2 separate regions of the Mus musculus genome follow, and region 2 is reported to be linked to region 1. Evidence: microRNA targets listed by miRTarBase, many of them from high-throughput screens and not tested one by one. Region 1 holds a microRNA gene; the other region holds the end of a gene's coding sequence.

The links. Region 1 holds the annotated microRNA mmu-miR-544-3p (AUUCUGCAUUUUUAGCAAGCUC, at 1,743-1,764, shown strand). A microRNA usually pairs through its seed, bases 2 to 8, with sites in the 3' UTR of a target mRNA and lowers its output. Matches are read on the target gene's strand: a 7mer-m8 pairs with bases 2 to 8, a 7mer-A1 pairs with bases 2 to 7 and ends in A, and an 8mer does both.
Region 2: miRTarBase lists Prkce as a target of mmu-miR-544-3p. Seed matches in the 3' UTR shown: 7mer-A1 at 1,932-1,938.

Annotation. Positions count from the first base shown.
Region 1 is chr12:109,727,629-109,731,800 of GRCm38, forward strand. Mir544 (microRNA 544) reads left to right here and starts at 1,697; the gene lies at 1,697-1,774. Mir539 (microRNA 539) reads left to right here and starts at 501; the gene lies at 501-574.
Region 2 is chr17:86,653,433-86,657,768 of GRCm38, forward strand. Prkce (protein kinase C, epsilon) reads left to right here. Exons shown (of 15, transcript NM_011104.3): 15 at 1,109-4,336. The coding sequence ends at 1,255. Among named protein-coding and RNA genes, the nearest start is that of Gm52297, 14 kb to the right of the region's middle.

The sequences.
Region 1 (4,172 bases):
AAACTTTTGTCTGCTGGGAGCTGACTGCTGGCAGCTATGATGGTGATATACAAACCTCTCCTTGGATTTGGGAGCCCATGTTGAGACAGACATTCTCTGTCAGTCATGTGAGTGGGTGTTGGAGCTTAGAGTTTGTGCTGGACTTACAAGGTGGTGCTTGTGACTCGGCAGTGACATCATTTCTGTAGCAGCTTCTAGAACAGAAGACCCCATGCCGGGGGTCAGCAGGGCCACCCACAATGCTTGCTCCACTTAAGATGGACACTGCCTGGCTTCTTGACCCCAGCCACCATTACCCTTAGAAGAGGCTAACGTGAGGTTGTCATGCTGAGTCCTGGGGAGTCATTTCTATAGCCTCTCACCTCCCTGGTGCTTAGAATGGCCATCAGTAGTACTGCATGCATGGTGCATGTATGTATTGGGTGCAGCCACGTGTGAGGAGTGGTGATCACTCCCAAGAGGCCTATGGATGCTGGTATTCCTGCTGTGCTACTGTTTCATACTTGAGGAGAAATTATCCTTGGTGTGTTGGCTCTTTTGGATGAATCATACAAGGATAATTTCTTTTTGAGTATCAAATACTGCCCTGGTGGACTTCCGGGATGACGAGACGGTTGTTTAAAGAGGTGCCTGGTGCATGATGCATGGGTTAGCCTTACCTGGGCACAAGGCAAGAGAGCACAGAACTGATGTGTAAGAGCTACACTCTGATCCCAAGTCAGGATCTTGCTTGAAGAGTCCAGGGGTTCCTACGTGGCTTGGTCATGGTGAGATAGCACAGTTTTCATGACTTGGCAAATCGTTCTTTTTTTTTTTGGATGGGCAGCCAATCTCACAGATAGTCACTGGGGTCAGGCCCCGGCCCCTTGCTCAAGAGTGTGACTGGTTCCACAAGCATGTGCTTGAATGACAGAGGCCGGCGAGCTGTCTGGTCTGGATCGTGAGAGGAGGTCCTGCGGTTTTTCTCGGTGCGGTGGTTCTCTGACATTTGCAGGGTGGCTATCAATAGTGTGCTCGCCATATTTATGGAGATTAATTGGGACGACCATTGTTTGCCCCATATCTGGATTTGCTTCCGAAGGTCCTAGAGCACAGTGGTGACTTCAGCTAATGGACATTGGTACCTGCTGCAGGAGAGGGAGAATTTATTGAGGCAGAGTAACCTCAGAAGGCACCCCCCCCCCCATGTACTCTCACAGTGACAGCTTTGAGGTGGCAACAGCTTTGGTGGCTTGCTTCTTTGTGCTTGGTCTGGAGAACACTGAGAATAACTCACCTGTCTGTTGTTGCTGTTAAGTCTTAGTTCAGAGGAACTCCTTGAGAAGGTACTGGGTCAAGCATCTCTTTAGGTAGACAGAACTTGGCCAGGGTCTTCTAGGTCCAGCACCCACTCTCCTCAGCATCCATTCTGAGCATAGACTTCCTGTGGTTAATACAGGTGTTAATAAGGATACTTCCTGCCGCCGCCGCTGCCTTAAGTCACTCTCTATCTGTTCCTATGGCTTCCTTTGGGCTGACTTTTTCTTAGACATACCTGGTCAATAGCATACCATTTCAGCTCATTCCATAATCTGGTGTGTGTGTGTGTGTGTGTGTGTGTGTGTGTGTGTGTGTGTGTGTGCCTGCATGCATGCTTGTACAAATTGTTGGTTAGTGTAGGGCCTCTCAAACTGCTCAACGCTGCTAAGATATTCGTCACCTAGGGATCTTGTTAAAAAGCAGAGTCTGATTGAGGGGCCAAGATTCTGCATTTTTAGCAAGCTCTCAAGTGATGCTAATGCTGCCGGTCCGTGGACAACACATGTAGCCACTGGGGGCTGGAGGTGATGTTGCATGTTCCTTGTAGTGTGTGTGCTCCATCTCCTCCATCCACCCCGCATTATCCATCATGAGTGAGCATTGAGCCAATATGCTACCTTTTGATGATCAAACTGTGGTCAGTTGTGAAAGGCCACCTGCTGTACAAACACCATTATTGATTATTGATTATTCTTTCAAATCAAAGCATGCCTCTATGGGCTTCCCAGATATAAGAGCTACTTCAAGGAGGGGCTGCCTATGTCAGCCAACAGCAGGACTTGTCAGCACCAGGTTATTGGTGACTGAGACCATCTGACTCTGTAACTCTCCATTTCCAGTCAATTGTAAGGAGCACAGTTCTGGAACCACAGCTTCTGGGGAAGGAGGAGTCCTATCTGTCGTATCTACCAGCAACCCTCGACGTTATCGAGAGAGGTAATGCCCATGGTGCCATTGCCCTTCCATGATATTCGGCCAGCTGCTGGCTTCTTGCCATCCAGCTTACCTCTCAGGGAGGACCAGATAGACTTCCATTTTGTTTCTAAATTGACCTGCCTTAGGAAGCTCTTGTGGGAATGAGTTTTTCCGTCAGACCAGATTTTAGCCCTAGGACCAATGTGTAGCAGTGAGTGGTTGCTGTCAGCTCATGTGCTTTCTTACAGACTATGGGAATTCACCTCTCAGAGTCTAGGAATTCAATTTGTCATTGGAAGAATCTTCTGGAAGGAGAGAGGACAGTAGACAAGAGGCCCCGGTTTTCCTGTCAGAGATCTCTGAGAATATTTGAGGTCATTCATGTTCTGTTTGCTTATTGTGAACGAGACACAGTTAGCTTCCTTTTGACTATCAAACTCTGCTTTTTTGAAGGGCCCCCTGCACAAGCGATATGAGACTGCCTGCCTTGTGTGAGCCTTGGATGAGCCCTGCAGCTCCTTCGAGATGCTCCTTGGATATTCCTGATGGAGAAGACCAACCCCGAGGAAGCTTGGTCCTGCTTGCGATGAGCTTGCTGTGCTTTCACGGACACCCTTCGTTTCTTCTACCAGTTTTCAGTGCCAGGGTGCGCTTGAAAGGAGAGCTGATGCCAGGGCTATAGCCTTCCCCAGCCAGAGCATGTGGGCCAAACCCTTTCTGGATGGCTAGGCAGTGGGGAGAAGCCATGAGATGGTTGAGAAGTAGTCACAACTCCCCTGGGGACAGACTGGTTTTCAGGGTTACATCCATTCAAAAACACCCCCCGGAATTCAGGCTTGTGAAAGACAAGCTAACTTGACCCTGTTCCTTTGTTCTCACTGAGGTCCTGTCCCTGGCATCCCCTTCCTCCTGTGGACACCACTGAGGTGCAGACACTACCCCGATGGGGCTTCCCGTCCTGCTGTTCGGCTCTGGAAGAGACTTGATTCCTTTTCTTTTTGTGCTGGTGGAGATCACACACAAAAGGTAAGATGAACCCAGCTGTTTGGGATTCTGGAAGAAGGAGGTTGGCCTGTATCCCTGCTGTAAGGGAAGATGCTGTTCTTGGGCGTCTCCCTTTCAGGGATGATGCCGGTGGCGGACAGGAAGCCCAGCTCCTGCCGCCTGGATGACTCTTCCCTTGGTGGGGACCAATCCTGGATGGAATCAGTTCAAGATGGATGCCAGCTTCATACAAGAGCCCTATCAGGATTGGCCTGAGGTCTGTAAGAGTATATTTGGCCCAGGTAAATCCAGGTGCTAGGGATATCTGATACCCTATAGCACATGCACGCCATCTTTAGGGCATTTCTGAGGTCAGGATGCTTCAGCTCTCACCCCTGCTTCCTCTCTTTGCCAGAGAGAAGTGCTATCAGCTACTAAAAGTGAATACTAAATGGCCTATCTATGTCAGAGGGAAGCCCAAAGCCCAGGAAGAAATGATGGACCAGAAACAACAGGACATGCTCGTAAGGTCACAGGCTTCTTTGTTCCAGACTCTCAGCACCCAGGCTACCCTAGTGAGGTCCCCAGAATTGAATGCACGTTAATCCCCCTGCCTCAGACTTTGGGAATAGGCTATTCTGAGCTTAGAGTTCTTCCAAAAGAACAATTTTCTCCTGAAGTATCTATTCAGCACCCCTCCCCCACCCACCCAACCCCTGCCCAAATCTATGGTTAGCTTTCTTGATGCTGAGTCCTATAAGGGAATATTGATCTTATTGAGGAAGGGCTATTGACCTCAGCCAATTCAGGGACAGTTGTTCACTTGGCTAGAGGGAAAAACAAGGTGTGTAGCCAATTCTCCTAACATTTGCTCCTCAATCCATTCTTAGGAAGACTTGCTGCATGGTGGATGGCCCAGAGACGGCGGGGCTCACAGATGGTCACGTTTAGTGCTTGCAGATTGGTAATGCCTG
Region 2 (4,336 bases), not on the chromosome of region 1:
GTGGTGACCCCCAACCGTAACATTATCTTTGTTGCTACTTTGTAACTGTAATTTTGCTGCTGTTGTGAATTGTAATGTAATCCTAATATCTGTTCTCTGATGGTCATAGTTGACCCCTGTGAAAGGGTCATTCAATCTCATCCCCTAAAGGGATCACAAACCACAGGTTGAGGAGCACTGGTCTAGACAAAAGTATGAAAATATCCCAGAAAGTTCATGTGTTGAGTCAACATTAGGATAGTGGGCAAGCCACGGGGCCATAAAGTGAGATGCTGGTGAGGGCGGATGGGAGAAGGCATCACTGGGTCCTGTCCATAGCCCATCTTTACACAGAGAGAGGCCGTGTGAAGCAGATGTGGCAGGACTATCACGTCTGTTTCCTATGGGAAACAAAAGCACTGGGGACTTGGAGCAGATGGGTTTAAGTTTGACTCCTGGGCACAACAAGGACTGTCTTCATGAAGACTGATAGCTATGGCAGATGCTACCAAGGGGATATGAGATGGAAGCTATGCATCCCATTACACACACACACGCACACACACACATACACACACACGCACACATGCATTCACACACACACACACACACACACATGTGAATGCATATACACATACGTGCACACAAAGGCTCATATACACACAGACTCACACAATTAACACTCATACATGCACACATGCTCACGCACACACATACACATGTGCATGCACATACGCATATGCATATCACACACACAGGCTCATGCACACACAGGTTCACACACAAACACACACACAAATTCACACACACACATACACATACATGCACACACTTGCACACACGTGCACATGTGCGCACACTCAGCCTGTGGGAACCCCACTTCCCTGCTTTTCCATCATACTCACGCACCCTCTTCCTTCTCACATTGACTCTCATCTTGCTCTCCTCCTTTTCACATCTGGGTCCCGGGGCCATCCATTGTTACCCCATTGGAACAGCCCGTATCTGTTCCCAGTAGTTAGAGGCTTGAGAGTCTGGTCACCTCGACACCCAGTCTCTGAGTGGGAGGGGGCGGGGCTCAAGAGGGAAGTCAGGCCTCAACTCAGTGCCATCTCTTTTCTCTCCACAGAAAACCAAAAGAGATGTCAATAACTTTGACCAAGACTTTACGCGGGAAGAGCCAATACTTACACTTGTGGATGAAGCAATCATTAAGCAGATCAACCAGGAAGAATTCAAAGGCTTCTCCTACTTTGGTGAAGACCTGATGCCCTGAGAGGCTGCTTCGGATGGAGGGAGCTCATGCTGCAAGGACGGTGTTGAGATACTCCCAAGCTGCAGAGGCTCCGAAGGTCTCAACTCCTCCTCCTCCTCCCCCTCCCCAGAGCCCCAGTCCCATGTCCACTCTCTTATTTATTGCATTCCCCCACCCCAGGCCACGTCCCTCCCCACCCTCCCAGTGATCAGAAGGCACTCTTGGTCTAGACTCACCAAGATCACAGATTTGAATTGCATCAGCTACCTGTGGGTAGCTGTGCGCAGTGTTGGGTTTGATGTATCCATCCAACCGCAAGCCAGAAGCAGCTTCAGTTCTTTTACTACAAAGAAAAAAAAAAAAAAACAACTCGAAGACTCTGGCTCTGCCACTGGACGTGGACTCCTGATTTCTCCCTCCTCCCATTCCTCCTCGTCTCCAGCCTGCCATCCCTGCCCAGCTACCTAAGAGAAGAGAGCAGAGTTTCTTCCACGGGAGGGCGGGTGCCCCAAGGCTTGCCCTTGATGGAAGGAGCCTGAGTTGCTCAGGTGGTCCAGCTGTGGCCGTGTGCTCTGGAATCGCACATTCCTGCTTGCTTTGGTTTTAGCTTTTTTTGAGCATGCCAAAGTTGTATGCGTTTGTATCTCATGGAAGAAATCATTTTGATTTTGAACTCTAAACATTACAAAAAAAAAAAGCAGAAAGAAAGGAAGAGAGAAAGGAAGGAAGAAAGAAAGAAAGAAAGAAAGAAAGAAAGAAAGAAAGAAAGAAAGAAAGAAAGAAAGAAAGAAAGAAAACTATTACTACGTTCACTTTCTAATTGGCCAAAAGATAGACATCCCAACGTGAACACGGGTAGATATTAAAGGGCTAATACACGGTGAGAATCCAGTCATCCGACGTTTGTTATTGATGCTTTAGTGACACATGAGGTCTATGCAAAGAGAGCAAAGAAAACTCTGGCTTCTCATCATGAGAATTTTCCCTGAGCACAAAGACCACCAGAGCAACAGCCAAGATCCCAGGGTTCCAGAAAAACTTAATTCCCAAATTCTCTCTCCAGTCTTGGTCCCATGTTCCCAGCATAAACCCTTATTTTCTCTGTGCTTCTACAAGATGGCCGTACCACTCTGTTGTGGTTTGAAACGTTCGCTATGTAGGATAAACTCTGAAGTATCTGTTTTGGGAATGCAGGGAACGAAACACAGCCGGGGTCAGGCAGAAGGTCTCAGGAGACTAAGGAGCAACTGATCTGAGGGCCGTCGAGGTGCTGGGATGTAGCCAGAGTTTTGGTGACATGCGATGGTAACTCACGTGGACTGATATTACCTCCTGTAGCTATGCTGACAGTGTTACAGTTTTGATTCCTAAGGGTTCCCTGTGGCTTTGTGTATATGTTCCCTGAAGGTCATTTGATTACCTATTTTATTGAACTGACTTAGCAGGGAGTGGAATCCATTCCAACCATTGCACGTGGATTTCCCAACCACCCCTAAGTAGATATACCTGTGAGTGGCAAACTGACACTAACGAAGCTTTTTGCCTTTTGTACATTTGAGATTTTTTTTGTATATAGTGTTCGCTGCAAGGCCTGTGGAGTTAAATCATTGACTATAGAGGTATCAACTGCTGCATGTTCAGGCATATTATAGAACTTTAGTCTATGAAAGAATAACTATAATAATGTCCAGGTGCAATCTCCTTATCACCTATTGGTTCAAGTTGCTGAGAGAGAGGTATGTTTCTTTCCAGGGAGGGCTGGGGTCCTTCATATTGTTTATTTCCTTTTGGGTTAAAAGTGTAAGCACATAGTGAACTCTGTTAAAGTCACGCTCGGTTCTCCTGTGTAGTGTCATGCCCTGAGAGAGATGGCAGACGGGAAAGAATGTTCTCGATAGTGGTTTCCAAGCTTGGACAGTGACTATTTTGAGCCCATACTAAATGTGTCCCTATTTGCATCTGGCTGGTCACAGCCTTTGTCTCTAATGACGACCTTCAGTTTTCCTCTTTGTTTTGCTTTTTTTTTTTAAGAAAAACTCAGGTGTAACTGTGATCTGTTCTTATGATGATTGCAAATATTAAATGCTATGCTGTATCAATCTGTATGTTTGGCATACCAGGGAAGTGATGAAGAACATTAGATTAATTTAATTTATCTTCAGTAACTTGACATACTGGGGGAAGACTATCTTTTGGAGTGGAAAACAAGCACAGAAACATCTTCATGGTGGTATCATCTCAATGTTTAGAAAAAACATAATAATCCCATTATACTCAGATATAATCTCTCTTTCTCTCTCTCTCTCTTTCTCTTTCCCTCTCCCTCTCCCTCTTCCTCCCTCCCTCCCTCCCTTCCTTCTGCTTTCTTTACCATTGTGAACATTGGACAGCCAAGGCCAATATCAAGTGTTTTTCCCCCAGGGTTTGGTAGTGTTAATGTTACAGTGAAGGCTACACCCTTCCTCATGGCCAGTTGGCACTGTTGCTGGGAAGTCAAACAACACATTCCACCAGCAACTCTAAGAAGTCAGGCCCCTGATACCCTTTTGGTGCCCATAGCCCTGCTGGCTAGGAGGCTTCCAGCCAACGCTTTGAATCTAGTGGAGACCTACACACGAGTGTGTTCTTTGGATGTATACTGAGTCCTGTCAGCAAGAACTTAGCCACAGGGAATGTGGCTTGGTGGCAGAACTCTTGCCTGGCTGGTGTGAAGCCTTGTACATGGGTCCCAGCATCACAAAAACAGCAGTGGTGGGGATGGCCAAGCTGGCACCAGGGTATCTGGGGAATGGCCACACTGGCACCAGGGGATCTGCCAGGTCTATATTTTTCCAACTCTCACTTTCTTTATCTTAAAGGAAAAAAGTGGGGGGGAAAAAGCCAAAAAATACTACATGAAGGATAGTAATTCCTCCCTGCCTCTCATTATGGACTTCTTGAAGTAGAAACATTTTTTTTCCTCCAAAGGTGAAAACACCATTCATTCTTGCTTTAAAAATAAAAGAAGGCTTAAAAAAATTACCTCTTTTTAAATTATGTGCAAAGTAATTCTGGTTAATAGAAATGTATTCAATTTTAGGGGTTTTATTTTGTATTGTGAAG